4 linked regions of the Arabidopsis thaliana genome follow. The protein of the gene in region 4 interacts with the protein of the main gene of each other region in a pairwise test. Each region holds a gene or a part of one and is shown on either strand. Other genes may lie near its edges. The genes, in order: AT2G41705, ACBP6, UTR2 and PIP3.

Evidence for each region.
Region 1: the proteins of PIP3 (region 4) and AT2G41705 interact in a protein complementation assay, tested with the Arabidopsis thaliana proteins (one large-scale study listed by BioGRID).
Region 2: the proteins of PIP3 (region 4) and ACBP6 interact in a protein complementation assay, tested with the Arabidopsis thaliana proteins (one large-scale study listed by BioGRID).
Region 3: the proteins of PIP3 (region 4) and UTR2 interact in a protein complementation assay, tested with the Arabidopsis thaliana proteins (one large-scale study listed by BioGRID).

The regions. Positions count from the first base shown.
Region 1 is NC_003071.7:17,392,841-17,401,732, reverse strand, and holds AT2G41705 (camphor resistance CrcB family protein), read right to left. Parts: upstream 4,464-8,892; 5' UTR 4,223-4,463; exon of another isoform or gene 3,694-4,222; 5' UTR 3,651-3,693; coding exon 3,273-3,650; intron 3,178-3,272; coding exon 3,094-3,177; intron 2,999-3,093; coding exon 2,900-2,998; intron 2,818-2,899; coding exon 2,625-2,817; intron 2,538-2,624; coding exon 2,125-2,537; intron 2,042-2,124; coding exon 1,823-2,041; 3' UTR 1,652-1,822; downstream 1-1,651. Other genes in the region: AT2G41710 (Integrase-type DNA-binding superfamily protein), read left to right, coding at 1-66, 147-197, 544-605, 689-1,473; ABCA1 (ATP-binding cassette A1), read left to right, coding at 5,623-5,709, 5,870-5,949, 6,053-6,221, 6,320-6,402, 6,773-6,989, 7,315-7,523, 7,616-7,676, 7,787-7,873 and 3 more.
Region 2 is NC_003070.9:11,408,760-11,416,173, forward strand, and holds ACBP6 (acyl-CoA-binding protein 6), read right to left. Parts: upstream 3,475-7,414; 5' UTR 3,341-3,474; coding exon 3,329-3,340; intron 2,876-3,328; coding exon 2,758-2,875; intron 2,654-2,757; coding exon 2,591-2,653; intron 2,459-2,590; coding exon 2,373-2,458; 3' UTR 2,007-2,372; downstream 1-2,006. Other genes in the region: FRL2 (FRIGIDA like 2), read right to left, coding at 4,226-5,647; NFD3 (Ribosomal L18p/L5e family protein), read right to left, coding at 6,173-7,005. UniProt on the Arabidopsis thaliana protein: Binds medium- and long-chain acyl-CoA esters with very high affinity. May function as an intracellular carrier of acyl-CoA esters. Confers resistance to cold and freezing.
Region 3 is NC_003075.7:12,057,640-12,065,979, forward strand, and holds UTR2 (UDP-galactose transporter 2), read right to left. Parts: upstream 5,220-8,340; 5' UTR 4,848-5,219; coding exon 4,725-4,847; intron 4,364-4,724; coding exon 4,335-4,363; intron 4,254-4,334; coding exon 4,052-4,253; intron 3,962-4,051; coding exon 3,719-3,961; coding exon of another isoform or gene 3,696-3,718; intron 3,650-3,695; coding exon of another isoform or gene 3,622-3,649; coding exon 3,520-3,621; intron 3,437-3,519; coding exon 3,296-3,436; intron 3,100-3,295; coding exon 2,992-3,099; intron 2,944-2,991; coding exon of another isoform or gene 2,910-2,943; coding exon 2,679-2,909; coding exon of another isoform or gene 2,668-2,678; 3' UTR 2,545-2,667; downstream 1-2,544. Other genes in the region: AT4G23000 (Calcineurin-like metallo-phosphoesterase superfamily protein), read left to right, coding at 1-91, 332-664, 765-866, 1,141-1,438, 1,596-1,744, 1,823-2,008; AT4G23015 (uncharacterized protein), read left to right, coding at 2,668-2,943.
Region 4 is NC_003075.7:16,704,105-16,712,133, reverse strand, and holds PIP3 (plasma membrane intrinsic protein 3), read right to left. Parts: upstream 3,774-8,029; 5' UTR 3,463-3,773; coding exon 3,177-3,462; intron 3,085-3,176; coding exon 2,789-3,084; intron 2,530-2,788; coding exon 2,389-2,529; intron 2,296-2,388; coding exon 2,176-2,295; 3' UTR 1,727-2,175; downstream 1-1,726. UniProt on the Arabidopsis thaliana protein: Water channel required to facilitate the transport of water across cell membrane. May be involved in the osmoregulation in plants under high osmotic stress such as under a high salt condition.

The sequences.
Region 1 (8,892 bases), on a different chromosome or scaffold from region 4:
TTATACCAGGGATTTAGAAGAAATGCAAAATCTCTCAAGGGAAGAATACCTTGCATCTTTACGTAGGTGCGTATGTATTTAAAAGCACTATAGTTTTCTTTTAAGAACCATTTATTGCTGATACTCTTTAGATATCCCTTTGGCAGAAAAAGCAGCGGTTTCTCTAGGGGAATAGCGAAATATCGTGGACTTCAAAGGTAAAACTGGACCAGCAATTGAGTTCTCATTTCTCTGTTTTGTCTGAAAAACTATGGAATCAAGAGTGATCATCTTTGTGTAATTGCCTATAAGGAAGATTCTTTAGTGACACATTGTGGATCATCACGGTTTTGATTAATTGACATATGGTGGATATGCTACTAGTTAATTTCATAGAAAAGTCTATATGCTACTCTTAAGAATAGGGATATGGCAAAACTATCTTCACTGTTTTGGCTGTAGCCCTCTTTAGTTTTGTCTTTTTAACCTTCTTTCTCACAATTAACATTCATACCTGATATGCATTTCTGCTGTCTTTCCATCTATTCTGCACTTCCCGACCAGCCGATGGGACGCATCAGCCAGTCGTATGCCTGGACCTGAATACTTCAGTAACATTCATTACGGTGAGTTGCTAACAATATTGACCTAATTGAAACAAATGTTTGCTTGCATCAGACTATTCAAAACTCATTGTCATTATTAACAGGGGCAGGTGATGATCGTGGAACAGAAGGTGACTTTCTAGGTAGCTTTTGTCTGGAAAGAAAGATTGATCTAACAGGATACATAAAGTGGTGGGGAGCCAACAAGAACCGTCAACCAGAATCTTCATCAAAAGCATCAGAGGATGCAAACGTCGAAGATGCTGGTACTGAGCTTAAAACACTGGAACACACATCCCATGCAACAGAACCATACAAGGCGCCAAACCTTGGCGTCCTTTGTGGAACTCAGAGAAAAGAAAAAGAAATATCATCACCATCAAGCTCTTCTGCTTTAAGCATCTTGTCTCAGTCGCCTGCCTTCAAGAGCCTAGAGGAGAAAGTGTTGAAGATCCAAGAAAGCTGCAATAATGAAAACGATGAGAATGCAAACCGTAACATCATCAATATGGAGAAGAATAACGGCAAGGCAATAGAGAAACCAGTTGTGAGTCATGGAGTTGCTTTAGGCGGTGCTGCTGCTTTGTCTCTTCAGAAAAGCATGTACCCACTTACCTCTCTCTTAACGGCTCCATTGCTCACCAACTACAATACATTGGATCCTCTTGCAGACCCTATTCTCTGGACACCATTTCTTCCTTCAGGATCCTCTCTTACTTCAGAGGTTCGTAGTCATATATCTATAGAACCAGAGACTTCAGAGGTTACTACAACACATCTTCCTTATGTCATTTTCTTTGGCTCTCTTTCTTCTGCAGGTGACAAAGACAGAGACCAGCTGTTCCACGTACAGCTACCTCCCACAAGAGAAATGAGCCGTTCCCTTTAGACTTTATGTATGTCAGATTCTCCTTTTTTGAGATGAATTCGTCGACTTGACATCTCTTTGTCTCTTTTATGGAGAAAAAGTTGGGAAAAGTGTGACAATGGTCTGAAGCAGGAATGTACAGGTTTTGTTAGTGGTTGTGTTTTTTTTTTTCCAGTGTGGAATATAGAATCATGATATTTTGTGTAAAACAGAAAAAAGTTATCATTATAGTATAGAAGTTTGCTCTTAATATTTCTGCACAAGGTATAATATAATTTGATTGTGACCGATCTAATTATTCATCTCTACCAAATGTTACGACTATGTATTATCACATCATCTGCACAAGACTTATCTAGCTTTGATACAACTAACTGAATCCTATTACCCAGACAGGGACTGAGTATATAATAGTTCCAATCGCAAAAGAAACCACAATGGTAAAAGATGCATACGCATAGGCTCTCCATGGGTAATCACTTTCTCTCATCGCATTGAACTCAGCCATGAAGGTCGAAACTGTGCTCAGACATCCCAACAGACCAAACTGTATGCTCGAAGCAACCGTGTTACATGTTCTCGTGTTCACCTGTTTCCCAAAATATATACAATGAATGTTATCTTTTGTGATTTGATCTGTTTGGTAGAGAGAGGAGGTGAGGAAGTTTATACCGATTTCTTCAAGGTAGCCAATGCTGCCATAACGCAAGCTGCAACTACATTTGCAATGAGGGTGCCAAATGGGACCCATCTCAAATTTTGACTATCCTTTCCCAGCCCACGTCCATTGAGTCGGGCTAAGAACCATCTGAGCCAGACACCAGGGGCTGCAACTAAGCAACCAAACCATAGCTGAGCCTCGCTTGTTCCTTTGTCAAACTCTTTCACAAGCAGTATGGAACTGGCAGTGAGTAAAGCCACAAGCAACAGAAGCATCAGGGTCAGAGACACAATATGGCTCTGGAAGGTGTTAACCTTAAGACAATGGAATTTATCCTCAGAAGAAGCTCTTCTATGAAGAAGCCATTTAAACCCTTTGGCCGTTTCCACTCCCAGAATTATGGAGTATGACGTGAGAAACAATCCTGTAAAGTCGTTTATGCTGTAAGCAAGTATGTTTCATCCAATTTAGTAGGTGATTGGAGATTGAGAAGGGAATTTTTTGTTTTTACCTAATAAAAAGCCAAGCACAGCATACACCCATTGACCATCAGCACTAAGATCCAGCATTTTCTGGTTCCAACCGCTGAATGTTGTCAGACTCCCCAAATAACCAGTCGATAATCCTATCGCCACAAATTCAGAAACTCTTGCTATATCTGCTTTGAATACAACGCCAAACCAACCCATCAAGAATGATCCTACCTATAAGGAAGCATTTGGAGAATTTTTATTAAGAAAGATAGGTTTGTAATTAAGTTTGAGATGAGTGCATTGCGACTTTCACCATGTTGGAGGGAAGATCAAGGTACAAGATGCTCCCATCACTTGTTACTCGAGCACCAGTTGGCCCAAACAATTTTTGCAGCAAATATCTCGTAATGGCCTGTATATTTGGAGTCAACGAGTTGATTATAATGATTTAAACAAAAACAAAGCACAACAGAGAGACAGACAGAAAATGGAAAATAAGCATTTTACCCCAAAAATCCCAAAAACAGCCAAATGAATTAGGCATGATATGTACTCCAAGGACTTTGGTAACACTCGCTCTTCCTCCTTTCCCTGTGCAACCCACGAGCTACAATAGATCAAAACATTGGACAAAGAAACCAATACTAACAATGATGTGACTATGCAAAGTTAGAGGTAGTCTCTACGGAGTTGTTTATTTCAGGTGACAAGAGTGACTTGGTCGGTAAAGGAGATGCTGTTATGTCCTCAGGCAAAGTTTTATTTACGGAAGCAGTGTTGAAAGCTCGAAGGTCATGTAATATATCTTGTTCTTGACGAGAAGTATCATGAGTCCCTTGTTCTATAAAATCATCAGCAGACAAACGGCTGCTTCTACCAGCACTATGCCTTCTCCGAAGTGAGCGGTCCCCAATATCCCCTGCCTCTGAGACACTCTCACTATCGACGTCATTGTCAATTAGGTGAGGCAAACTACGTGATAAGCTTAAAGAAGAGGCTACACTGCTCTCCCGACTAAAAGACTTGGCTTGATAAGGTTCTATGCTGCTTTGACCCGTATCCATAGGCGTTGTAGCCAAAGCATAAGATTCTTAAATGATGCTCCACCTGCACATATTTTAAGCCACAGCCACACACACAAGAAAGAAGACATGAAGGAATGTGCAAAAAGAGACAAGAGATAATCGAACAATGTGGCAAGTAAACATTCGAGAAATTCCTAATGCTTATTAAAGACACTGTTTGAAAAGTTTAGCTGTAATCTTCAAAACCATAGCTTTTTGATACTAAGACAACAAATTCAAAAAAGTTCACATATTCATGATAGATTATGACTTTAGTTTATTACTTTCTACAGAAGCAGAATAAGAATGACCTGGTGAAGGGATCCAAAAACAGTTTTCAAGATTTTGTCCTCCACTATCCCTTAAAACAAAAGATAAAAATTTACTTGCGTTTTAGTTAGTGGAAATCGAAAAAAAGGTAGACTAAAATAATCACTTGTTCACCAATAGAGAAAAAAACGAAAATCTTAAAAAGTTGTACAGGTGGCAAAGACGAATGAATACTTTTCTTAGATTGGGACCTGTTTTGGGTTTGGATTTTGAGCTAGACATTTAAAATTCAGCAGCTTTACCTAATGGCGAATTCAATCTTAATCGTGAAGAATCAAATTTGATCCCAAAAGTCGCCGGCGGAGAAATCGAGCTAACAGGAGACAATCGAAAACCATCAATTTATTCTCTGGTTTATTGGATGTTAAGGGAAGTAGGTTCGATTGTAGAAGATGGACGAACAACAAAGCAGAAGACGATTGTAACTTTGTTTAGTCGAACACACATGTACAGACAAGTAGAGTTGGTTTAGTCGGGAAAATCGCACCCTAAAAAAAACAAAAACAATACATAAGTTTTAAAATATTTCTAAATTATGGGCCACAAAGAGCTGGCCCAGTAGCCCCGCTTCTCATAACAGATTTTTTTTGTCTCTGGCGGATAACAAAAATATCCTTGGAAACGACAGCCCAAACAAAATCATCTTTAACATATATTTAGATGTTACTTGAAATTTGATCATATATTTTGAAAAAATCCAGATAAATTATTAAAAGTTAATGGTATTAAAAAAAAAGTTTCATTGTTTTTAGTTGAAGAAAATAGTGTCATTTTGATTCTACATTTGATATAATTTTACTAAAAATTGTTTTTTTTCTGTGTTAAAAAAAAACAGCATTTTTGAGGATTGAATATGAAGGTGGATTTCTTTAAAGTTGTGTCACAACTGATAAAAATAAAAATAAGAATCAAGTTGGGGAGTGGCAATGAAAGGAATAATTCTAATGGCGGCTTTTATTGGCAACCTTCGGAAAAATAATAAAAACATTCGTATACTTTGCCGTCAAACTTAGGAACGTCGTCGTTTTCGTCGTAATATAATTGGCGTAACGCAACTCTAAAACGAATCAGGATGTTCCACGTACACTACACTAGGCTTTTAATGTGGAGCCCGTGAGAGAGCCACCCCTACTTGGCATTGACGCAAAGATTTATATTTGGGTCAACATCAGCAACTGTACTTAAGTACTTATATATATTAATTATAAGATTATCTTCTTCTTTTTTTTTGGTTTAATATAAGATTACCTTCTTAATATCACGACAACTAATCTAATCTTCTCCTTATTTTTTGGGTTTTTTGATAGAAGAAGAAAGGTCCCGTAAATAAATGAAACAGTTTCGGAATTCTTCTATTTTTGTCGACCACTTGTGTTATCCGCAGCTAGTTGCAAAATTCTTTTGTTTGATTGTATAATCAAATTGATTAATGAATCAAATAAATTGGCAGGAAAAAAAAAAAAAAAAAAAAGGAAGCACAAATGTCAGTGAGGTGAGCCCAAGTCTTCGCCACCTCTCTCTGCTTTCTTAGTTTGCTACTTTGCTTTGCCTTTTCCCAAAGAAGAACCATAAAAGTATGATTTCTTATTGAAGCCAAGACTAGAATCTATCGTCTAGGGTTCTTTCTGGGTTCCAAGGAAAAATGGGTTCATCGAAGAGGCAATTCAAGGCCATGCTCCGCAAGAATTGGCTCCTCAAAACTCGTCATCCCTTCGTTACTTCAGCTGAGGTTTCTCTCTTTTTCTTTGCTCCTCAAAACTATGTCGTTTTCATGCTTATTCACTGCTCGTCTTAATGGGTCTTCTTCTCCTTGATGCTGAATGCAATTTTTGTTTTTAAAATTTCGAATTGTTGATCAAATTTTGCTTCTTTCTCTTATTCATTGGCAGATTTTGCTTCCGACTATTGTAATGTTGCTGTTGATAGCCGTCAGGACACGGGTTGACACCACAATTCACCCGGCTCACTCGTAAGATATCAGTTTTTTACACTCGTCACTAGCCTCTCTCTCTCTCGTACTAAAATTGGATTTTGATTTCGTTTTCTGCATTTTGTTCTGTTGATCATGAAAGGAACATAGACAAAGATACAGTCGTCGAAGTGGGCAAAGGCAACTCTCCTAGTTTTCCAGAAGTTTTGAAGCTTTTGCTTGCTGAGGGGGATTTTTTAGCTTTTGCACCTGACACTGATGAAACTAATAACATGATCGACATTTTGTCTCTTAAGTTTCCGGAACTGCGGGTAATCATCATCACGTCTTCATCTTATGCTGCATTCTAGATCGATAGTTACTCTTCATATGTCACACGTTTAATCGACCCTGTGTCTTCTGTTTGCAGCTAGTTACTAAAATTTTTAAAGATGACATAGAGCTGGAAACTTATATAACATCTGCGCATTATGGTGTCTGTAGCGAAGTGAGGTATGTTTTGTTCTTTTTTCCAGCTAATAAGAAGGCAATTTCATCCCTAGTTTCTTGTCGCCTTCAAACTTTTTCTTGTACATCTCTCTGTTTATTCTGTGAATTGGTTAGCATTTCTTGAATAATGGCAGTATCTCCTTGGGTTAGTTGTTACAAATTTGCTACAACTTTGATGATTATACTACCTGAACAAGACTGGTATCTTTTCTATGTTGGAAACAGGGAGATATTTTGGCTTCACATGCCCAGTGTGTCTGCATTTTATCTTCACTAGTACTATCATCAAAGTTATAACTAGCTGTCTATGCTTTTTCGTTTTTTTTTTTTTTTTAAATGTTAAAACTGATTAAGCCTCATCATGTTTGCTTAGGAATTGTTCGAATCCAAAAATAAAAGGAGCAGTGGTATTCCATGAACAAGGACCTCATTTGTTTGATTATAGCATCCGCTTGAACCACACATGGGCATTCGCAGGATTCCCAAATGTCAAGTCGATCATGGACACAAATGGACCTTATATCAATGATCTCGAAATGGGGATTAATACCATACCAACAATGCAATACAGCTTTAGCGGATTCTTGACTGTATGGCCATTACTTATTTTCATTGAAAGTTTGTCTAATCTGTGCCCATGATTTTTCTATCATCTTTGTAGCTCTCCCCATAAAGCTACTAGGCAGTACAGTAGTCAGATAATTCTTGTCTGTAGACTATATAATCTATGCTATTATAGGGAAATATAGGATTAGTCAAAGAAATTCCAAATCAGGTGTTAGATTATCACACACTAAAGTAGTAGTTACCATTTAGTAAACTAAATCAGTTCATCTGATTTGAATAGAAATTCTTGAAGTAGGGGGTTTCATCTTGGTTTCGCCCAGTTTTGATTGGTCTTATACCCTTTTGCAGCTCCAGCAGGTGGTAGACTCTTTCATTATATTTGCTTCTCAGCAAAATAACGACTTGCCATTATCACATTCAAATCTTAGTTCAGCTCTACGCTTTGAGCTGCCATGGACACTGTTTAGCCCCTCAGTGATAAGAATGGTTCCATTTCCAACCCGTGAATACACTGATGATGAGTTTCAATCTATTGTCAAAAGCGTAATGGGATTGTTGTATGTATCACCTGCTCTATATTTTCTTTCCTTACATGTATGCATGGTATTTGAGTGTTTATGGTTTGGATGATTATATAATTGTTGAGCAGGTACCTTCTGGGATTTCTGTTTCCAATCTCCCGGCTTATCAGCTACTCTGTCTTTGAGAAGGTTGGTTTGGGTTTATGTATTTTGCTTACTTTGGAACACAGCTGATATGTATCTTTCGTTTACCAATAGTTGCTTTTCTATCACTTACGCTTTTTTTTCTGACCTTGCAGGAACAGAAAATAAGAGAAGGACTATACATGATGGGCTTGAAGGATGAGATCTTTCATTTGTCGTGGTTTATCACATATGCATTGCAGGCAAGTTTCTGCTTGAAATTTGACTTGTGAACTTTTGTTTGCCTCTCTTCCCGTGGCTATGGTAGCATTTTCTGTTGTCAACAATATTGACTTCAGCTGGAAGAAGCAGACGCTTTACTTCTTTTGATATATCTAATAACTTGTAGTTCTTGGTATATTTTGTCTTTTCTAACTAGACTTTGTTCTGCAGTTTGCATTGTGCTCTGGGATTATTACAGCTTGTACGATGGGAAGTCTCTTTAAGTATAGTGATAAGACCTTAGTCTTCACATACTTCTTTTTATTTGGGCTCAGCGCAATCATGCTCTCATTTATGATATCAACATTTTTTACTCGAGCAAAGACAGCTGTGGCAGTTGGGACCCTTACCTTTCTCGGAGCCTTTTTCCCTTACTACACTGTAAACGATGAATCTGTCTCCATGTATGTTTGTGCTTTTCACTTTTGTTATTTTTTTCGTGACGGCTGTTTTATGGATAGACAAAAGTTATGCTTATCTTTGGCACAACCATTTGGTCTAGAATACATTAATGTAAAATTAATTGTCTGACTTGTAGGGTATTGAAGGTAGTGGCTTCTTTGCTTTCGCCTACTGCATTTGCTCTTGGGTCAATCAACTTTGCTGATTATGAGCGTGCACATGTTGGACTTCGTTGGAGCAATATATGGCGGGTATGGTAGTTATGTAAGTGGCTACAGGCCAAGGTTGATTCTCCTTGTATTCTTAACTTTTGTTCTGGTCAATCTTCATGCAGGCATCTTCTGGAGTAAGCTTTTTTGTCTGCCTCTTAATGATGTTGCTCGACTCTATTCTTTACTGCGCACTTGGACTTTATCTGGACAAGGTACCTCCTTTTGATACATGTCTATATTTAGTGCCTGTCTTGTAAATTTATGTCTGCTATGTGACGTTCAATTTTGTGAACTGATTCTTTTGTTCTTGACATTATTCCTTGTTAAAATATAATTGTAGTTAGGAGGTTTATCTTTTCTTTTTCGTTATTGTATCCTGCATCTTT
Region 2 (7,414 bases), on a different chromosome or scaffold from region 4:
TTTAATATTGTTAATTTTGTTTAGTGTTTAAGATTATATAATTATATTATGATTGTTATTATATGTTTTTTTCCATAGCATACTATCCCATGTTATTATCCACTCAAACCCGTCACACCATATAACCCCGTCCCGTGAAATTAAACACAAATTTGTCATTTTATTATAAATTTCAAATATTTATAAAATTAGAAACTTCAAAAAAGATTAATATTGATCCAAACTTCATCATTGAATTTTGAGTGTTATATCTAAGATTTCTCTCGCAGTATATCGTCCCGTATTAATATCTTTTATATTGTTTAAATTTCTTGTAAAATTTAATTTATAATTTCTTAAACTTTTTAAAGTTTCAATTTTTTAAAATAAATAACCCTAGTAAACAAACCATTTAATCTTGGATACCTCATAAATCAAGTTTCATGATCATTCGTAATCGAAATCATTTTGGTCCTTTTTATAGTATGGCTTGACCATTGTCCAATTTTTTTAAGCGATGTGGGACATTCTAAAATCGTAATTATTATCCACCCAAACCCGTCCTACCATATAACCCAGTCCCGTGAAATTAAACATAATTTTGTCATTTTCTTATAAATTTCAATATTATAAAATTTGAAACTTACAAAAATACAATATCGACCCAAAAATCATCATTGAATTTTGATTGTTATATTGAAGATTTTTCCTGTAATATATCGTCTCGTATTAATATATTTTTATATATTTATAATGTTTAAATTTCTTGTAAAATTCAATTTATAATTTTTAAAACTTTATAAGTTTTAAAATTATAAATATTTAAAGCATTTTTTAAAGATAAACTTTATAAAAAGTTTTTAAAATTATAATATTTAACTTTTGATAAAGTTATAATATTTATAATTTCTTGAAACATTTTAAAGTTTCAATTCTTTAAAATAAAAAATCCGAGTAAAATCGGATAACTATTTTAATTTTAGACGCCTGATAAATCAAGCTTCCTGCTCATTCGTAATCAGAATCATTTTGGTCCTTTTATAATATGGGTCTGAACTATTGTCCAATTTTTCTAAGCGATGTGGGACATTGTACACATATTATTTCTTCATAGGTTGAATAATATATTTCCGTTTTAAAAAATTTGAATTACATCATATTCAGAAAAAATATAATATTTTATTAACTATATATATTTTATATAAATTCAAAATAAATAAAGTATAAGATCAAATAAAAATGAAAGAAGAATTATATATTTATGTTTAAATTAGGTAGAAATATTTTAGGAAATTAGTTAAGGTAAATAAGAAATATGGTTAGTTTAGAGATATTGTTTATATTATGTAATTAAATCATTAATTTCGTTTTTAATTATTATTTTTTAGGTAACTTTTCCAAAAATTAATGTTATCCAAGATCAGAACAGAATTAAACATGTTATCCAGGATCCGAATAGAGTTAAATCGGGTAAAACCCACCCATTTGAATTAATTGTTGAATTATGGTTCACATCTTCAACATTATCTTCAAAAACCTCCTACAAAAATGTATATATAGATTAATTATTTCACTTATATTAAAATATATAAAAGAATTTGTTATGTTAAAGTGCATATACTATATATTTATATCGTTTAATTTTCAATTGAAAAACACAATGCATTTAATATAAAAATTCTAGATGTATAATTTTGATAAAGAGATTATCATAATACTAAATATTAGTATGTTCAACATACAATTAATTATTTTAATATTCTACAATATTATTTAATTTCTTGAATCACGGTTAAGAGATTATCATTAAGGGAAGGAAGTTAATCTACAATCAATAAAAAATAAAAGTAATTATGATCAACTCAATAAAAAAACTATTGTTTTTGTCATCTACCAAATTATAAACCTCAAATTTGTAGACACTTTAAAACTAAACGTCTATTTATTTACGAATTTGACTTTAAATAAACCACATACAATTTGAACAATTCTGCCAATGTTCGAGACGAAAAAAATAAATAAAAAATCTGCCACGTTCTTTTTTTTTCCAGCTTTTGTCTTATGTACTCCAAATTGAAATAAAACGAAAGTTTTCTAGTGAGTGGTGAATGCGATGGACCATGAAGAAAAAGACCTACGGACCAGAACGAATATATCATCTTGAATTCAACTGTTTTAACTAAGACCATATCGAGGACGGACCAAAAATAACTTATGGATTTAGTTTGCATCATGATTCTCTGTTTTAACCAATATCAAGCATTTTTAAGAGATCACACCATGTCACAAAGTAGATAGCTTAAATATGATAGAAACACAAGAGCAAGAACAAGTCTTATGCAATGTTATTTTGATGCTTAAGATAAAGTTACTGCAGATGAGGATTTGATTCATCAGGTTGAAGCCTTGGAAGCAGCAACTTCCAAGAGTTGCTTGACCTTAGTGATATAGTCATTCATGGCTTCTTCCGATGATTTCCCTGACATCATAAACAAAGAAAAGTTCAAATTCAATTCCCCAAGCACAAAAAATTGTTGAACTTGAGACAAGAATCCAAATTACAAACAAATCACTAAGCTAAAAAAGTTGATCACTTGAATTGTTTTTGTACCTTCAACAGCCTTCCAAGCATCCCACTTGGCTCTCTCCTTCATGCTGAACATTCCAGGACGACCTTTGAATCAATCAATAAACAAATACACATTATTAACAACATTACAGAAAAGTGAACTAAGAAGCAAAAATAGAGGATGTTAATATTCAGACAAAAATATTAACTGGTGTCCACAGGCCCAAACTTGGCTTGCTTGTAGAGTCCGTAGAGAATGAGCAAATCCTCGTTGGATGGCAACTCCGTGAGCGTATTCACTTTCTCAGCGTGCTCCTCAAATTCCTCCTGCAGATATATAAATCAGTGAAACAACAAATTCGAAGAAAAGATTCTTAATAGCCTAATACACCATCAAACATATTACTACTTAAAATTCTCAATCGGGATACAATAATCAAACAAAACTCAATAAAACCAAACCTAGCTCAGATTCAAAACTATATTACCCATCAGCAAACAGTGTTTAACAAATCAGTTATAAGAACAGTAAATGGACAAAATCATACAGAGAAAAAGCGTGATCAGTAATAATTCAATTCCATAAAGTGATCATTCTTGACTATACAAGCTTCAATTTCGTAACTATAAGGAACCTATATATCTGCAAATCTGGATCAAACAAGGCTACCAACACAGAAAATATAGAATTCAGGAATGGTGAACACAAACAAAACTAAGATCCGAGTAGTAATAAACCGAAACCGAGATCGGTTTGGTTCATTTTGGATCTGAACGTACCTTCAAACCCATGATGAATAGACGTCGGAAGTTGAGATTGGTAGGAGAATTAAATCAGTGTAAGACGGAGAAGACGAGGACAACGCGTGAGATATATATGGGCGTCATGATAAACCTCTCAGGCCCATAAGCCATAACTATTAAATATTTTCTTTAAAGGAAATAAATATTTTTAGAGATAGATACTGTATACGTGGATTCAGACACCCCGTTGATTGGCTTATTCTGATCAGTATGGGTACAACTGTAAAACAAAGAACATGTTCTGTTTTTTCTTTTTTTTGCTCATCGAACATGTTCCTTCTCCATTGAAATGACAATATTAATTTTCTGTTCCATCAGAAAAACCATAAGCATATCCTTTTGTAAACTTAAATAGTTTAATGAAAAAAAAACTATTTCTGTTTCTGTGCTAGTTGAATATTATCCTTTGGATCATTTTAGATATCCAGACACGTAGATTTCTTCCCACTACAACAAATCAAACCAAAAGGGATCTTTGGTGATTATAAGAAAAAAGGGAGGAAATCTTGGAAGATTACCTAACAAATCAAGGAATATAAATGTTAGATCAAAACCATAAAGACCATTCCTCCACAAGTAAACTAAACTAAATTAAAAAGAGGTTAAGGTTAGGTTATAAAACTGTACAATCAAGGCAAAATCCTCTATAGTCGCTTCACCAGGTAAACAAAAAAAGAAAAAACGGATCAATTTGCTCTTATGTTATCCCCCAAACAGCGACTATATCAAGTGTTATCTATGTCAAAACTCTCGAAATTTACTTGATATTCATTACTGAACATCAAAAACACATAGAGAGCATAGACCTGTTCGAGCAGAAATCTTCTCAATATCGCTTGCATTCCTATAATAAATCTTACCAATAGAGAGATGCTACTGAGGATAGTACGGTGGGCGGTACTGAGGTGGTGGCATCCCATAACCAGTTTGCTGCACATAAAAGACGGGTCGAGAAGCTGGAGCTGGAACCGAGCCAAATAGAGCCCTTGGGTTGCCATATGGGACAGCAACACCAGGAAGTATTGAGCTTAAAAGACCATATGGGTTCACTTGTAAAATCTGACTAGGAGTAGGCAAAAGTGGTGGTTGTTGTTGCGGCCTCAGAGGTGGGATTGTCAAATTATATTCCATACTTGAACCATTAGCAACTCGAGGACGCTTATTATCGACCTTTTGTTCTTGTGGTTGTTGGGGATTAGCAGGTGAATTGAACTTAGTGGCACGCTTCCTCTGAGCTTTCTGATCCTCCAACTCCTTAACACATTCTTCGAGTTTCTCTTCCATGAACTCGGACTCGATGTTTTTCTCTTTCACGACTTTGATAACTGCTCTCAAAGCACTTAGTTCTTTATCAGTAGCTTCGTTCTGCACCTTAAGAGAGTAATTCCCTTCAGCACAAACTCTCTTAGCAGCTTCTCTAGAGTTCTTCAAACTAGTTTTCAAAATCGAAACTGGTTCAAATTCACCCACCATCTCATTCTCGTAAATGAATCTAATAGCAACAAGTAATCTCCCAGTATCCAAAAACTTCTGAACGAGAACTCCTATTCGATTTCTATCTAAACCAATCTTCTTGCAGATCGTTGTTGCTTGTTTATACTTAGAGATCAAGAAAATGTAATCACAAATCTCCTCAGTACTAAATAAAGACCCTAATTCAAAAGCTGCAACCAAATGCAAAAACCCTAACGCTTCTGATGGTTTGTTACCTATATTTGGTTTCCAATCATAAGCAATAGTCCTAGCTCTTTCTCTCAAATCATTCGTGAGATTCGCATTGATCTCAATCAAAGCTTCTAATAACAAAACGAAGATCCTCTTCACATCGATCGCTCTCGCCGAGGAAGACGACGATGGTGATGAGCAATGGTAAGAACCTTCGATTGCATCTAGAACCAAAGGTGCTGGATTCTCTGAGCATCGAATCGCATTAGGAAGCTCTTCATTGATAGATAAACGCTTCCTCGAATTCTCAATCATGTAGTTACCCAAACCTTTTCCATCATTCTTCTCACAAAACTTTCTCAATTCCGGCCAAAGGACTGGTGTCTCCGTCGTAACCGCCGTGGGAGTTTCGATATTACCGGAATTGGAACTAGTCACGGCTGATTGGAGGCGGTTAAACAATGAAGACTGGAGAGAAGAAAAGTGAGAGTCAATCTCAGACCATGAGAGGTTAAAAGATGGTGAAAGGAGAGATCGATGAGCTTGAAGATCATCGAAAGCTTTCTTCAATTTTTGTTTCTTCTCATCAATTTGATTAATCGATGCGGCGATTGATTCCGCCGCCGTCATAATCTGAACCCTAGGTTTATTAAATTGCTTTGCTCCGCCGTATCGGAATCTCAATCTCTGAGACCGAGAGAGCGATTTATTTCCAAATCAATCACTACTTTAAAAAAAACTTTATTGCTTATATATGTGAACAGAATTTGACAAGGCTTAAGATTCCGGTTAATGAATCAAATCCCTTTGGTCCAATTATCTAAACCAGATTTTCCTCAATCTATCGACTCACTTCCTGAGACCAAGAGAGCGATTTATTTCCAAAGCAAAATAACTATTTTTGAATAACTTTATTGCTTCTATATTTGACAGGCTTATATGGTCTGGGATTAAAATGTCAAATTTTCTATTGGGTCAAAACAGGAAAACAATTCCGGTTTATTAATCAAATCGCTTTGGTCCAATTATCTAAACCCGATTTTCCTCGGATTTGAAGGAGAAAACATAACCAAGAAAAGATATAACTTGCCAAAACAAATGGTTTCTATAGTGACCATAGAATAACAAGAGACGACGACATGGGACGTTTTCTTTTCACACCCGACGTTTCCTTGGTAATCTGCAACCATTATGAGCTTTCCTAGTAGTGTCCTCGATGTAGACTATCGGATTCTGATCAGACCTCGAGTTGGTGAAACCGTCTCTAAACGCGATAATAGCTTTCTTCTTCTTTCCGAAATGCGTAAATCCGTTCACCTTAACCACCACAGATTTCAGCCCCATAGCCTTAGCTCTTCTCCCAATGTTTTCAGCGGTTGCATCAGCTGTGTAATTCGTCATCTTCCTTCCACCTTTCAGATCGGGTAAACTACCAGATGTAGCTTTGCATTTGACGTTTCCTTTGGAATCTGTAACCGTGACAAAAGTGTTGTTCCTCAACATCTTGATGTGAATGATGTCAGCATTCGTTTCGAGGTTTGGGCGTTGGAAATGAGAGAATATCCCTGCGGTTCTCCTTCCTTCATCTTCTATTACTTCTCTAACAAAATCCAGGTCGCTTGACTTCCCTCCACTGCGGGAATTCTCCTTAAGAAGCGAAGAAGATTGAGTGAAATTCTCGTAGCTTGATAAACTTGGAGCAGAGAATCCGCTTCCTCCCGTGTTTGGTAAGCCTGGATTCGTCTGACCGAACTGATCAGGTAGAGAGTTTGGTAATCTTGATCTCAGTGAACTTTTGAAGGTAGGAGGAGCATTAGGAGCCGAGAAACCATTGACTCCTCTGTTTAACAAGCCTGCTTTCATATCACCAAAAGTTCTCAAAGTCGAAGGATTAGGCTCCGGAGAGGAACCGATTCTTCCCGTGTTTGATAAGCCTGAATTATTTGCAGACTCTCCAGAAACTGGCACTTGCTCTCTGAATCTCCCTCCTGTTCAAGAAGAATCCACGAAATAAATAATCAATCAATACAGATACATTATAATTCCCTCCTTGCATATAGCCTAAGCTGCTCCAAAGAAATGTTTTCCAGATTCATGATTTGTAGATATCTCGTTACCAATTGCAATAATTGCCTAATTTCTGAATACAGCAAATTGTTAAAGAGCCATAAGAAGCTGATCCTTGAGACTAATTGATTCAAATCCTCGTTCTGTACTTCTAGGCAAAGGTTAGAATCCTGAACAATACCTAATAACGAAATTACACATTTTCATGGAGGACAACATCACTTGACGATAGTGGAAAACTTAAACGCCAAATCCAAAATATTGATTGTACAACTCAAATGCATAAATCAGATCAAACCCAGAAGAAAATTGTTCTCGATTCAATCATAG
Region 3 (8,340 bases), 4.6 Mb from region 4:
AGGATGGTGGGTGTTTGGTTTGGATCTAGCGCTTCATGGTGATATTGATGTGTACCAGTTCAATTTCTTTTCTAAATTAGTGAAGGAGAAGGTAGATTCAACATCATCTTTCTTTCTCAGGCTAAATAGACTTTGCGGATGCTATACAAAATATATTCCCATCAACTCGAGCTCTTTTCTTCTTTTGTTCACAACTTATGATGTTCTGTGATATTGGTTTTGGGTTTTTCTTTGGTTTGTGAAACGACAATATTAGAGTTGGTGTCTTCTGTTTGATACTATTGAATTCTAATTTTGTTGCTTTGATCAATGTTTTTATCTTTTCATTTAGGTTGGGGAGAATGATGCAGTGATCATTATCACACATGAGCCGAACTGGCTTCTTGATTGGTATTGGAAAGACGATACTGGAAAGAACATGCGACACCTGATATTCGAATTTTTGAAAGGAAGGTGTAAACTTAGAATGGCAGGAGATTTGCATCATTATATGCGTCATTCATGTACTCAATCAGATGGACCTGTTCATGTCCCACATCTCCTTGTTAATGGCTGTGGAGGGGCTTTTTTGCATCCCACCCATGTGTTCCGCTGCTTTTCAAAGTTTTATGGTGCTTCTTATGAAAGTAAATCTGCCTATCCTTCATTTGAAGATTCAAGCAGGGTAAACTTTTTCTTGTTTCTTGAACCTCTTATCCACGGTTACTGATTCGCCTTCTTTTCTTTGCATTCTGATATTTTATGTTGTTTGCTGTTATTTGCAGATTGCTCTGGGAAATATTTTAAAGTTCAGGAAAAAGAACTGGCAATTTGATTTCATTGGTGGCATCATATACTTTCTCTTGGTCTTTTCCTTGTTCCCTCAGGTGCGGTTTTACACATCTTTGACTTTATCAAACTCTTTTTCATATGAACTGTTTCTTGTTTCTCCATTTTATATTTATTTTCTCAGCAATGCAGCCTGACTTGGTCATTAAGACTTTTTTGTTAAAATGGTACACATTGTCAGCATCCACTATTAAATGGTCAAACTGAGACAGGCCTTGCATATCTGTAGTAGTGTTTTTCCTGTGCGAAGAAATTTTTATGCTCACTTGCACTCACGAGAAAGTTTTTATCTTCATTCCTTGTTGGTTTCAGTGTGAGCTAGGCCATATCTTACGAGGCGATTCATTTTCTGGCCACTTGGGGAGTTTCTTTGGCACAGTTTGGAGCTCCTTTGTGTATGTAACAGAGCAGTCATATGTGTCTTTCACCGGGGTTCTTATGTTGCTAATAACTGCAATTATGTTTGTTCCCTCAAAAATATCTCGGAGGAAACGACTGTTAATTGGAATTCTTCATGTTTCTGCACACCTGATGGCTGCTTTGATTCTTATGTTGCTGTTGGAACTCGGCATAGAAATCTGTATTCAGCATAAGCTCCTTGCAAACTCCGGTCAGTTTCCTTTCCATAGAATGTTGTGGCTTTCCTCATTACAATGTCATTGACACAAGTGGACAAAAAATATGTGATCCTACTTTAATTGATATTTTTTTGTATCTGTGATCAAACCTTAATGGATTTTGAGATTTTCAAACTTTTTGCTACACAGGGTATCATACATTGTATCAGTGGTACAAATCAGTAGAAAATGAACATTTTCCGGACCCTACTGGCCTCCGAGACCGTATTGAGCAGTGGACGTTCGGATTATATCCTGCCTGCATCAAGTATCTTATGTCAGCATTTGATATTCCCGAGGTAAAATCGTCAACTTAGCCTTCGTTTTAGCTGAAATAGAAAACTATTTTTCAGCCGAAAGTAAAGTATTTGACATAGGTGATGGCGGTTACACGGACTAACATCTGTCGAGAAAGGAATGGGAGTCACTTTCTCGAAGCGGAGCAAGCCATCTATTATGCTTCTGTGTTCCTCTACTTTTGGGTTCTTCTCAACCCCTGTTGTATCTTTGGTTTTTGGAAGTTACTTATATATATCCATCAACTGGCTTCACATACACTTTGATGAAGCATTTTCTTCACTTCGGATCGCCAATTAACAAATCATTCACCCGTTTCCAACATCAAACCTGATGGAGACCTTGAAGTCTTCACTCTCGGAGTAGACAAGGTGAGAAAAACAACTCTCGAAATGACAAAAGAAAAAGTTTGTGATTATAGAATTAAACAGAGGAGTGTATGTGATGAATGAGTACAGGTGCCAAAGGAATGGAAGCTGGACAAGGACTGGGATGCAGAGCCGAGATCGACTGTGAAAATGAGTCATCACAGAAGGTTTCCAAGCAAATGGTGTGCAACAACATTGCAGCAGGATCCTGTCAACACCGTAAAGATTGTCGATAAGTTTGTTATTCATAGATCAGAGAAAGAAACTGGAGGATCTTAGATAGAATCAGGTTCTTCACTGATCCTGTCGTTTAGAATGTAGTCATTAGCGTTTCCCGCTTTATGAATAGGCTTTGAGACGAATAATGCTTTCTTCTGAGAGTGATGACAAAAATAATTCATATCATAGTTAACAATTTAACAGCTCAATCTTTTGCAATTTCACTTTAGAATCTAATAACAAGTCTCTGACACAACTTTAACTCTATTTTGTGTCTCCTTCATCCAACATTATTCTATAAACCCTTTGAATTTGTGAGATAAAATATATATAAATACATGGCACATTCTCAAACCAATGACTTCCTTTCTTCGTCCTCTTCTCTATCACCATCGCCTCCTGCGATCCTAACCGCTGGTCTCGCCGGAATCTTGGCCGGAGCTTTACTATCCATTGGAACCATCTTCAATACAATCCCCATTGCTATCAACAGCAAGCCTGATCCGTGCTGTTCCGTTAACGGCTTTGTGAATATCAAATACGACAGCAACAATGTAACCCCTTTCCTAGCCGTTGTTATCTACACACAACGAAATGTGATTTTAGACCATTGAGTCAATTAAAATACAAATGAGTATTCAAAGATAAGATTAGATATTTACCAAGGCAGTTGTGGCGGCTCCAAAGAGAGCAATAAGCGAGAGAACGGAGACTTGACCGATAAATGTGGCCATGGCTTCAAATACAAGCACTCCATACACATACGGATGCTGCAAATATAAACAAAGCACAATTGGTTTTAAATATGTCAACCAATGAATCATTAAACCGTTTGACTATAAAATATTCCACGTTGGTACTTAAGTTATGGAATCAATGAATTTAAAAGAGACAATTTGGCTTTTAAAAAGTTTGGCAGATTCAGAGGCACGTCGTCGGTCAATGATCTCTCTCATTTCGTGGTACCAAGAATCCTACAAATTTTGACTTTTTCTCTAAACTGAGTCCAACTCCGGTTTGAATCATAAACCGAGTCAAATCTATAGAAGTACTTTCAAAGCCAAATAAAAGGTTCCACTCTTTGTCACTTTCACTTAAAATGGACGACTATCTCATAAGGTTAACTTGGTTTGGTTAAAGGTTGACCAAAAGTCAAACCAGAAAAAAGAGAACAGAGGTTGTTTACTTACTTGTGCACACGCAGTCCACGCACGAAAAACCTCTCCGGTTAAAACCATGGGAACGAACAAGAACGGTAATCCAACAACTGTTGAGCAGAAAAGCATCTCCATCTGCACAACACACATAACAAGAGTTAATCTCAGAAACGAAACAAAACAGACCGGTAAAGGAAAACCGAAAGAACCGTGTTTTCTTTAGTTTCCTTGCCTGAGTTGTCTCAGGATTCATTGTGAAGATAGCTTCTTGCAGATTACCCAAGAAAGCATCCATGATCAATGCACCGGTTATCATCATAATCCCAATCATACTGAAATTTGGAGACATTTGCGCATCGGCTAATGTGAATAGGATCAAACCAAGAACAAGCAAGAACGCTGAAATGTATTCATGGACTGGGTATTTTCTTCTAAGACCGGGTATAAACGCTCCCATTATCATCACCGGTAACACCTAAAACATCCGAAAGATGGTCATTCCGATCATTCTTTAAACTCAATTTAAACTCATTGAGACTGTAATTGGGAAATGTGGATCTATTACCTTGGTGGATTTGAACATGATTTGAGCTGGATAATTGAGATAAGCCAAAGATCCTTTGGTTAAACCATGTGAACCCATGAGAACAGCAGAGAGTTTGACATAAGTTCTCATCGGATTAACTATATGCTTTGTGGTAAAGCCTTGAAGGTAGATTAGAAACAAGTAGACAAATCCTTGTATAAACGTGAAATACCACCCAAAGCTACAAAGACAGAGCAAAATCCCATTGTTAACTTTTGTTCAAATCTAAAACTTAAAAGAGTAATCAAAAGTTGACTTTTACCTAAATTGAAGACGATTATAAACATATTCCTGCAAAACCAAAGAAAAATAAATCAAGTCAATGATCATATATGAGTACTTGTAGATCCAATCACATTCTCTAAAATCTGTTTTCTTTACAAAGATCACAGATTTTTTGTGATCTCTCACAAGTTTGGAGAGAGTTTAGTTCGTCATGCAATTTTTTCTTCTTCCTCTGTTTTTTTTTCTCTCAGAAACAAAACATCAAACACTTAGCATGCAAGAGATTGAAAATGCAAAAAAATTATAAATTTACGAGATTCAGGAGCTGGGTATGTGGAATTATGACAAAGAACAAACAAAAACATTAACGTTGATTGATTATGTATCAAAATTCTCGAATCAAATTGCAAAAAAGAGAGAAACGAACCTCGCAAACACCGTTAACGAGATAACCAAAAAAGAAACCAGAAGTGCAAATGAGAAACTGTTGCCAAGTTGGTTTATCAGACAAAGAGATTCCAAACAGAGATCTTGTTTGTTCCTCCTTCATTTTTCTTTTCTTTTCTTTGAGGAGAGATTCAAAGGAAGAAACCCAGAAAGTGAATTAAGAGTAATTGATCAAACACATGTAAAGTGATGACTCATAACGGTATTATTATCACTCCTCGAAATAACGAAAACCACACCACAAAAAGGGTAATCAAAGAATAATTAAAACCAAATTCTTCACTCTCCTCGAGAAACTTGATGAAGAGGGAAGAGAGAGTTAATAGATGTATTGGTAAAAGAGGAGGAGGAAGAAGAGAGCTTTTAAGAAGGAAGGAGAAAACGCATGAAGAAGAAGAAGAAGAAGAGACTCGTCGCGTGATTTGCCACTTCGGGACACGTTTTTTCTCCATTGAGCGTTCTTCTTCTTCTTTTTACGTTTCCTGTTACTCTTTTTTTTACCGGTAAAACTCAAATTTGCAAGTAAGACCCTTAACGTTTATGTATGTTTGATTTAAGTCTGAAACTTTTGTTTATCTACACACCACGACAAAATTTGCATTACCAGCGTGGCACATTTTTTTGTCTTAAGTCTTTTATTGCATGATCTCATGTTTGCTAATTACGATCATATCATATTATTACCAGCTTGGTATATATATATATATAAAATTTGGGTTTTAATGACAGTTTGTGTTGTATATGTGTTGTTTGAAAAATGTATTTATAATAAATTTTGGTATAAAAATAAGAAAAATAAATGCTATGACTTATCAAATAAAATTATCTAAATTTGTCTATAAAAAAAAGTATCAAAGTAAAATGGAACAAATAAGGGTAAAAATTGATATATAAGAAACATATCAAATCAGATCTTGCTAGTCAAAATTGTAAATTTTTATCTACATTTAGGATCTGTATATTGACTATGTTTTCTAAATAACATTTGTTAAAAAAAGTGAAAGAATTCAAAAAAGTAGTGTGACAATTTTTACAAAAACCTTAATTAGAAGTCTAAAATCATATGATATCATCAAATCTTGATATAAAGTAAAAAGAAAGTGTGTCACTGACTCTACACATTAGAAAACTAGAGGCACTAATAAAAAAAATAAGATAAACTTTAGGGGTGCGTTTTCATATTTTCTTTATTTGATGCAAAAGAAAGTTACTACTTCGAGAGAATAAGAGAATAAAAAGGAAAATTTAATAAAGATAATCAATATGGCTTACGAGTCAACTTTCCGGTTTAAGACAGATTGAGTCATTGTCTCAATAGACGCCATTACAGTCTGTCTTTTACAATTTCATCATCTTTCCTGAATTTTGTTTTTGTTATTTTCGGAAGTGATTGTTAAATGCGTTACAGAAGTTCTGGTCATGTCAGAATTACATATTGACATAACATCTGGACACGTTTTGGTAAAGAAATCAATTTACTCTTTTTCTTTTCATCTTCTATATCCATATTGAGCAATAAACTTCACACATGCATATTCATTCTTTCACCAACAGAGTAGTTGTTTTGTTCTAGTTGAAAACTCTAGTGAACAAATTTGGAGGAACATATACAAAATGTGTAAGCAAAATAATGACGATATTTAGTCAATGAATTGAAATGTTTTAGAAGAATTAGGTGGCGGTGTATGGTGAACAGTCGAAATATACATTATTATTGGCTATTAGTTCTAAAGAAGCGATTATAATCGTCGTATATGAAATAGCATATAGACAAAATGGTTTGTTTTAAAATAGACCGTTTAATAATAGCTTTGATTAGTGACACTGATAAGTTAAAATGGAATAGAAAATAAATTAACTATGAGTCTATAGTCATACAAATATCATATATGCATATAGGCGTCGCAAAGAGCCAAAGACCATATTCTTTTTTTTTTTTTGGTCAAAAGCCAAAGACCATATTCTTTTCTTGAAATACCAACGCGAAACTCAACAATAAATCTGATATTTATTTTATTTTTTGTTCAAAGGCTTAAATGAGAGAGCTTACTGCAATATTACAACAACAAAAAAATTGCAATTGGTATTAGAGATTTTTTCCTATCAAATTTATTTCTATTAGAAGGTCAAGCTTTACGTGCAATTGTATTAATACATAAAGTTACAAATGATAATCTCTACACATAACAAAATTGATCTTACTCGTAGATATTTTTCTTGCTTAAAACCATTTGTGTGGTTCATAATAAACGGAAGACTTCGATCGAGAGACTTTTGCATATGCAAGCAACCCATCACATTTCACAAATTGACAACAATATTATTGCTAGAAAACTATAGATTTATGTAGATATATATTTTATTCTTTTTTGTTAAAAAAAAATCAGACATTTACATTCAAACTCAAGCGAGTAAAAGAATCAAAGTCGTTAGAGAAACAATCCAGTGACGTACGGTCAAATAGTGTGGGCCTTAGCTTCAGCCATTTTGTACAGAGTACCGGAATCTTACCAAACACCGAAGGCAGGTCCAGTTACACTAGTTAGCGGTTACGTCTCCTTCTAATTTTCATAGATGAATTAGTTTTTTTCTTCTAAATAAAATACGAATTTTTAATAAGATTTTGTGTTATTATTGATTATGGACACTGTTACTGCCGTATTATCATGCGCAAAACAGGGTTGGCAAACTTATAATAGGTGATACTTGTACAATTTATCTATATACTTATTAATTCAAATTCAAGTATTTGTGTAGCTACTACTACAACTAGACGTGATAGTCAGCATATATGAATTATTCTTTCTTTGCTAGGAATATTTTTAAAATATTATAAAACTAAATTTTTAAAAGAAAAGAAAAAAAAATTATACACTTATACGTATAATTTTAAACAAGTAGTACTACTGTACAACTTATATACAAGTCCTAAAACTTAGTAAATTATATTTATATCGTTAAATTTGGCTTATTAATATTAAGGCATATAACTGAACATAGCACGAGTATGACTTTCTTGTATACAATAAACAGAACTATACAATATATATGTCCTATGTGACTACGTGTGATTACAAAATGCAGTGATATAGCCTATAGGTAATTTGCCCCCAAAAAAAACAAACTATAGGTAATATGTCGCAATTTTTGGTTAGTGCAACAAATGCAAATTATTAAAATCTAACAATATATTAGTAAACAAGTTTTCAAATATCGAAATTGTCTCCATGCGTTCAAGCGTCTCTCTCTCAGCAACAATGATTTGGTACGTAATTCTATTACATAGGGGAATTCGGTTTATTTCCTAAATTATGGGTTTCTTTTCTTACTGAAACAATAATTCAATTTTTGGGATTCGAGGTTAGATATATTTATGCACAGAAATTAGGTTTTGCTTTTAAAAAAAATTGTAAGAGAAATTTGTTACAATTTTCATTAAATATAAAATTAGGAGGATGCATGAGATCTCTAGTGACTCAAGTCATGGTTAACTTTAAACTGATTAGTTCTATATGTATTAACTTTACCACTCCTACGTTAAAGTTAATCCAGCTCAGATTAGTTGAAGCCCAAAAAAAACTATAGTTTAGGGCCCA
Region 4 (8,029 bases):
CCATAACGATGATTTTTAGGGGATTTTAAAGCCAAATATATCTTATGTTTTTATGTTATTCACTAGTTGATTTTGTTACATAATTGTTAGATTTGATATTTTTAAAAGTAACAAAGTATCGTACTCTGCTTTTAAACCGTTTGCAACGGACAAATCAATCTGTTATTTGCGACAATGCTACTGGGCTTCAGTTACTCATGTCGGCTTTACACCGAGCCCACTGAAACATGGCCCAACGGGAAGCTCCCCGTTGGGTTTGCTCACGAAACGAAGATTTAAGTGTAAACCGGAGAAGTTGAACCAGAAACCTCCAGATAAAGGTTTGTGGACCACAAATTGTGCTTGGTTTTGTTGCACAATGTGAGTAAGTAATTATAAATAACCTCATTGGAGATTCAGATCTTAACTAATAGACAGCAGTTACTTCAATCGTCTTTACTAGAAAAAATAAAATAAAATCTTTAAGTAGGCTCCAAAGGCTTTCACAAGATGGCAAATGACCTCAAAAAAACAAATTAGTTATCACGTGAAATCACCTTGACAGCCAATTTTTCCAGACACATAAAAAATAATCCGTAACATGGAATGATTAAAAAAGTTCGCAACTTTTAAAAAGTCTGAATTAGTGATTTATATCCAAAGTTGAAGATGTTTTTTGTCAACATATTATGACATCATTTCTTTCAAAAAAATGGACAGACAACTAAGTTTCACACTCAGCTGCTGTCTGTTTCAAGTTTATGTTTTTAGCTATACAGCATCAGATCGGTTAAAGTAAATCGGTTTAGGGATAAGCAGAGGGGTGAACCGGCCGGTCACATAAGGTATTTTGCAACTTGCAAAATTGCTATTATCCAGAACCAATAAAGCAATAGCTATTATAAAACAAAATTTAAGGCCCAACTATATGATGGTTCATACTTCATAAGCTGCTAGGGTTTACAAAGTTCAAAATGAGTGGACCATATTGAAGCTAAGAAGAGATAACGAAGAATCGATCATAACGGCTAAGTATTTAAAATTAAAACTGAGACACTAGGCGTATTAACCAGTAAAAGCGTGAAGGCCATCGTTGTGGTCCTTCTCTCTCTCTCTGTCTCCTCTGCATTCACTTTTCTGAAAAGACGAGACGTGAATTATTACTACTATTCCATGTAGACAAATTCGTATTTGTATTCATACTATTTTAAAGCCAACTCTCACTGTCGCAATTTACATCCCATAGACAAATTTAGTGCTTATTGCTTCCATGAGCATTTTCTTTTTTTTTTCTCTCTTTAATCAAATGCATTATTCAATTAAGTTGGTAAAGTCTTTTATACAAATAATTTCCTAATACATCCAAACACATATGCGTTTGGGTGGGTCTAAAGACTCTTAGCCAAAAGGAGTCTACTATATAACAATAACAATAACAATACGGTAACTAGACGCAGAAAAGTTACCCATGTGATAAACACATGAGCTACGCGACACGCGGCCTAAGAAAAGTTAGAGTGCGGTGGAAAAAATGGGTTTAATGTCTCGTTTCTTGTCTGGTTGTTACAACTCTATTGGCTCCACTCCTTTTTATCCTTTCACAAAAACAACAAAAGGTACTCGCACGAGTTCTTTTTCTTTTAAAAACAATACTAATTCTAACAAGTAACATCGAAAAAAAAGACTAAAGCAAATGGAGCGAAAATAGTTGTTTTCTTGTCAACTAACGAAAATGTAACCACATAGCAAATGGAATCCAATATTTCCTTCTCAACACGTGTCAATTAATGAATGGTTTACATATGACCCGATGGTTTAGAGTCGACACGAGGATAATAACCAAAAGACCCACACACCATGTTCAGCCGAAATTTGTATCTTAATTGGACGCTAGCTGTAATAATGTACATTGAAGGATCTTGTGATGTTGTGAATAATAAATTCCAACTTGGATTGTTCGATATTTACGAACTGACATGAAGAGAAAACATGAATTTGTAACTACTAAGAGAAACCAAAGGCAAACGATTAACAAAGACAATCAAAAACTAAAGAAGGAAATAGAAGTCACTGAGCCATTTCATAATTAACATCAATCCACCATCTCTCTCATTACACACAAAAGAACAACAAATAATAATTAAAGCATATAAATCTTAAAGTTGTTTCTTGACATTATCTTAAAAAAAGCCTTCATTAATTGGTTGCGTTGCTTCGGAACGAGCCCAAGGCCTTAATTGCTGAAGCTCTCAATATGTATTGGTGGTAAGCTGCTGCAGCTAGTGCTCCCAAGAACGGACCAACCCAAAAGATCCACTGCAAAACCAAAACCAACACAGAACCAACATTAGGACATGAAGTCATGAATGATTAGTGAATACCTAATCCAGATAATAACTAAACACTTACTTGGTCATCCCACGCCTTCTCGTTGTTGTAGATAACAGCAGCACCAAAGCTTCTAGCTGGGTTGATACCAGTTCCAGTAATGGGGATAGTAGCCAAATGCACCATGAACACAGCAAATCCAATTGGAAGTGGAGCCAAAACCTAATCACAAGAAAACCCACCACACTTTATCAGAATCTACAAAGTAAAGATCCTTAGAGATTCATACATACTTTGTCATTACACCATAAAAAGATTCAAACTTCATCAGAATCTACAAAGACCCATTTTATATTCATACTAACTTTATCATTAAATCCTAAAAAGATTCAACCTTTATCATAATCTACAAAGACCCAATCAGATTCATAGTAACTTTGTCAAAAAACTCAATTAAAGATTCAAGCTTTTTGAGACTTACGGGGATGTGAGAGTCACGAGCGCTTCTCTTAGGGTCAGTTGCAGAGAAAACGGTGTAAACAAGGACGAAAGTTCCAATAATCTCAGCTCCGAGAGCAGTTCCTTTGCTGTAACCGTCAGCTACGGTGTTAGCTCCTCCACCAAGAGTGTTGTAAGGAGTTTTCATGAAAGCTTTCACGAAACCCACACCACAAATGGCTCCAAGACACTGAGCTATCATGTAACCAAGAGCTCGCACCAAAGAGACCTTACGGGCCAAGAACAGACCGAAAGTCACAGCTGGGTTAATGTGACCACCTACGAGAAGACGAGAACAAGAACGAGATTAACAATAAAACCAACGAACCAAACAAGTAAAAGTTAGGGTTTTTGGTGGGATTCAAACTTACCAGAGATACCGGCGGTGCAGTAGACGAGGACGAAGATCATACCACCGAAAGCCCAAGCGATACCAAGTAAACCAACGCCGTCACAAGGACCGGTTTGCTTCTTGTGGCCGATGACAGTAGCGACGGTGACGTAGAGGAAGAGGAGTGTAGCGATGAACTCAGCGATGAGAGCTCTGTAGAAAGACCAGGATTTGAGCTCACCCATGTCGAGAAGAGGAGCTGGTGGAGGATCCACGTAGTCTTTTCCATGGTGGGTTTTGCCTTCTTCGCTCACTTCTTTCGACATCTTTGTTCTTTTTACTCTCTAGCTAGCTATGGAGTTTGTGGTGCTGTGTGACGACGACAGTGTATCTCTTCTGCCATTTTAAAGGGGAAAAAGGAAACCCTTGTAATGCCAGGGATAAACCAAGGGTACTTTCGGTATTACGTACTATTTGTATAGTCTACATAATTCTGCTTATAATCATTATTAGTACGATTAAATAGTTAATAACCCTCTAAACTAACTTAGTACTAAAAATATAAACTACTAAATGTTCCTTGGAACTTTCCAGTTTTAGTTAAAATCACATACGATTAATATGCATTATTACTGACAAAATAATAGTCAAAATTATCACGAATGTTCCTGCAAAATAATAGTCAAATTTGTGTTTTAATGCATTTTTTTCTCTTGCTAACATCAATAGTTATATGCATTATTACTGGCCCAATCAAATTTTTGTTCTTGTACTGTATGATATAGTGTATAAAATAGCAATCAAAGTGGGGTATAATTTGCATGGCCAAATCTTTTGCAGTTCTGTAAAATGTGAATATTTTTCCTACTAATAAATATGGAACAATGGGATAAATACACAAATGTTTAAATAAATAAAAATAAGACATGTGTTTTTGTAGGTTTGTTGAATATTTTTTTGGGTAGTAATAATTTGAAAAAAAAAATGGGAGATAAAAGTAGAAGGTGGTGGGGTCCAGATGTACAGATAAGCCATGTGAGGGTTAATGATAGAAATGAGGTGTATGGTTTTCTCGTCAGCCTGTCATCCCAAACTCTCTTCAACGGTTATCTCAATATCTTTGTCTTTTTTTCCAAATCTTTTTTGGTAACATTTTTTCAAATTAGGTCAAATGTTTGTAACATATGATAATCTGCTAAAGGCAACTGTACATGAAAAAGATTAATAATCTACGAAGAAGGTATATTCGCGGCAATTTTTAAAAAGAGTTCATATACCAGCAAAAGATAAGAGTCTATTAATTATGGTTGGTGCCGTTTTTTTGACGAAACTTGTATAGACAAACATTCACCCCGCATATAAACTATATAGTAGTCTATGCTAATTTATACTCACATTAATGTGTTTGTCGTTGAAATTTGAAGACTATTTATGGATTATAATCAATTTTAAAATTTGGTTAAATGATGTATGGGAGTATATACTAATACTAGTGCATCTTATTCTTTTTGATCAAAAAATTTATCTACTCATTTGCTATTCCTTTTATTTTTTTCCTTTGAGAGAGCCATATTAATTTGAATGGTTATGTTTGTATATAGCAATACGGACGTGGCATATTAGAAAGTTGATACAAATGTACATTAAAACTTAATGGTCATTTTTTTCTAAAGTTTAATGGTCATTTAGATTGAGAATTGCATAAAGAAAAATCCATAGTGCAAGCTCACAAGGAAAAGAAAAACTAGCATAAATAGTGGACTGACGGATAATCCGAAGTGCTGGCAATTTAGGAATCCCGTAATGAGTGTTAATATCTAAAGCTTAGTTTACTCTTTTCCTTTCACATTTTTTATACGTTAATACGACGTTTGTCCTTATCCTCGTAGCCCTAATCAAAATTATTTATTTTGTTAATATCCCTAGCCAATTATTACTTAATTTACTTTATCACTTTGTGTAATACTTAAATTTTACGCAAATGTGATTTAGATATATGAAATGGAAGTAACTTTACTTCCTAAGTCGACCCACGATAATATCATTAATTCAAGTAAAGTACGACAAAGAAATATTTGATTTGATATTATGCTGCCTTTGGTAATGGAAATGCCAGGTCGATGAGCAATCATAGAAAATGATGATTGCCTTCCTCTTTGTCCATGAAGAAGACTATACGATTTCGTATAACAAAATTATATCTGCTAAGTTGTGGTAAATTTATTAAATATACAGTTCAGGCAACATTACGCAGTGCAAACATTAAAACCACCAATACACATTTTCATTTCAATTGAGTTTGAAACTAATAAATAGGGAGCCTGCGGTTTCCAAATAGTGAGATATCGACCCTAGTAGTAATCAATAAGATTTCAAGTTTTATGATTTGGAAACGAAAACAATAATGTCTGGATAGTAGTACTGGACCATCAAATATATTACGTAAATAAAGTCTCTTCGTGGTGCAGAAGAGGTTGGATAATAATAATATTTGGCTAAACTTCATCCGAATCATTGCATGTGAGAATGGATCACCATCTTATCTTTGCTGCTACTATACCTATCGTTAATTATGATTTATTTTCCCGGAACATGAAGGATTTTTGTACATTATGGTTAGCGAACTTCAACAATTTCAACTAGTCTAGTTAAATTAAATTGAGTATATTATATAGTTCAGAGAAAGGGACTGACCTACCACAAGGGGCAGCCAATCTTTATCTCTAAAACATCCAGGTCACAATTTCCACATCAGTTTGGCAAAAGACAGGTCAGATCTCTTCGTTAATCCATACAGATCATCCCACGTGTATCGTATCTGGTAACGGCTAGAACGATCCATAAACATCTGTCTTTTTCCATCCTTTTAAATAATGGTCCTCGTTTCTCGCAATTCCTTTTTCCGATTCCCCCTCCAACGGTCACTACATTTGATTACCGTATGCTTTACGGTTTTTTTTTTTTTTTTACATCAATTTTATGGTTCAATTATGCCTTGAGAATGTGCTTTTGATTTTGATTAGCAGTATATTTGTTTAATTAGTAGTGAATGCGTTTATTTTTGTGGATTGTTTTTTAATTAGTTATCTTGTCATTTAGTACACATATGGTAAACTAAGCATGTTTATGTACTTAACTAGGTTTTAACCCGCGGTTTACCGCAGACAATCAATTTATTTGGTTCTTATACTAAATATTTGAAGAAATTTGATATTTTAAACTTATAAATATAAATTTCTAGTGATTAGTGAAGAATCGTAATAAATGATTTGGATATTATTGATTATTGATTTCGTGATTGAATATACTGTTTTTAGAGATGAAATGTGATTATATTTTGATTTCAAAAACGATATAGATTCCTTATTTTTGTTGAATAGCTTAGATTAAAGAGAATTAATTTTATTAAACGGTTTAGATTGAATTGGATCATATAAAGCTTAGAAAATTGTTAAGACCAAACTACCCTTAATAATTTTGAATAGCAAAGAATAAAATCCAAAATTAAAATCAAAATTGAGACCAAATTATACAAAATTTCAATTTGTACTTCTCTTTTAATAATAAAGGGATTAGCTTAATTATTCTTAAAATATCTTAATATTATTTACACTAAAGAAAACATAGAACATACTCCTTTCTATTCATTGTTTTTAGGCTATATTGTACCTTCATATTTCATTTTTGAACTTTTCAGTTCAGAAAATAGTACATACAATAACTTTGAAAAGATTCAATATTAATGCTGTCTTAGATTAGCACTTTTTAAAAGTATGTATAAAACAAGTAATCGATCATCCTTAAGTTTGGTGTTCCCTAATATTCATATTTTAGCTGGTTGCAAACACCAGCTATATTCGTTTATGGATTTTGGTCTAATTATTATTAAAAAAACAAAAATTAACCATAAGGTGAGTTTGTTTTGTGTATCCTTCTTATTTTTAACCAAGAAGGAACTTACATCAAGATTAGTTGAAATTTTCAAAAAGACGACACGTGCTGAGAAAAATATGTTCTTGATCCTTGACATTGGAAATGGAAGTAGTAGCTAGCTACTTAATCGTTGTATATCTTTAAGAGTTGGGCTAGACCAGATAATTCAGCCCATTTTGATGTATTAGCGACAATTCTTTTGATAGCATTTTTGGGCTAAGTCTATTCGTAATGGGTTTCAATCATCTCATTGTTTCTTCAGCACATTTTTGAGCCTGCTTATTTTTTTTCAGAACGTATGGAACAAGATCACATGTTTAATTATGTATGGTCGACATGTTTCAATCCGTTGGCTTTAAGGTCTTAATAACGTACGATACATTAGTTTTGTTTTGTTGCATGTAACCTGTGTGGTTGTACTTGTACGTTCACTACTTGTTGGTTTCTTTATAACCAATAGAATTCGGCAATTCAGTACCATGTATATGTTTTTCTTAACCGACCATATATTCCATAATTCACATGCCATCTCTTAAAAGAAATACAAGCACTCATAGCCATAGGTGGTGGATGAAGAAATATGTGTGTTAAAAATTTCTTCTATTGTCCAAAATCAACAGCTTGATCAGATGAACTTCTGAGCGAGCCAGAGGGTTCCAAGGTGGGCCATTGGGAACTTGATAAATCTCATCTCGTCACATCTCCCAAGGGGCAAAACAAAAACTTAAGAAATAATCAATTCAAAAGGCATATTCTTCCCGCTTGGGGCGTTCACACTATCTCATCACACGTGGAATCCAACAAAGCAGCCACGTCACCCAAGACCATACTAAACCACTTAAAAAGGTTTTGCTAAAAGGCCAAAAAAACCGGATAAGGAACCACAGCCCAATGACGTCCTCATTTATTTTATTTTCATTGAATTGCCTAATATTTATTTCTTTTGTCGTCCTTCTTCCT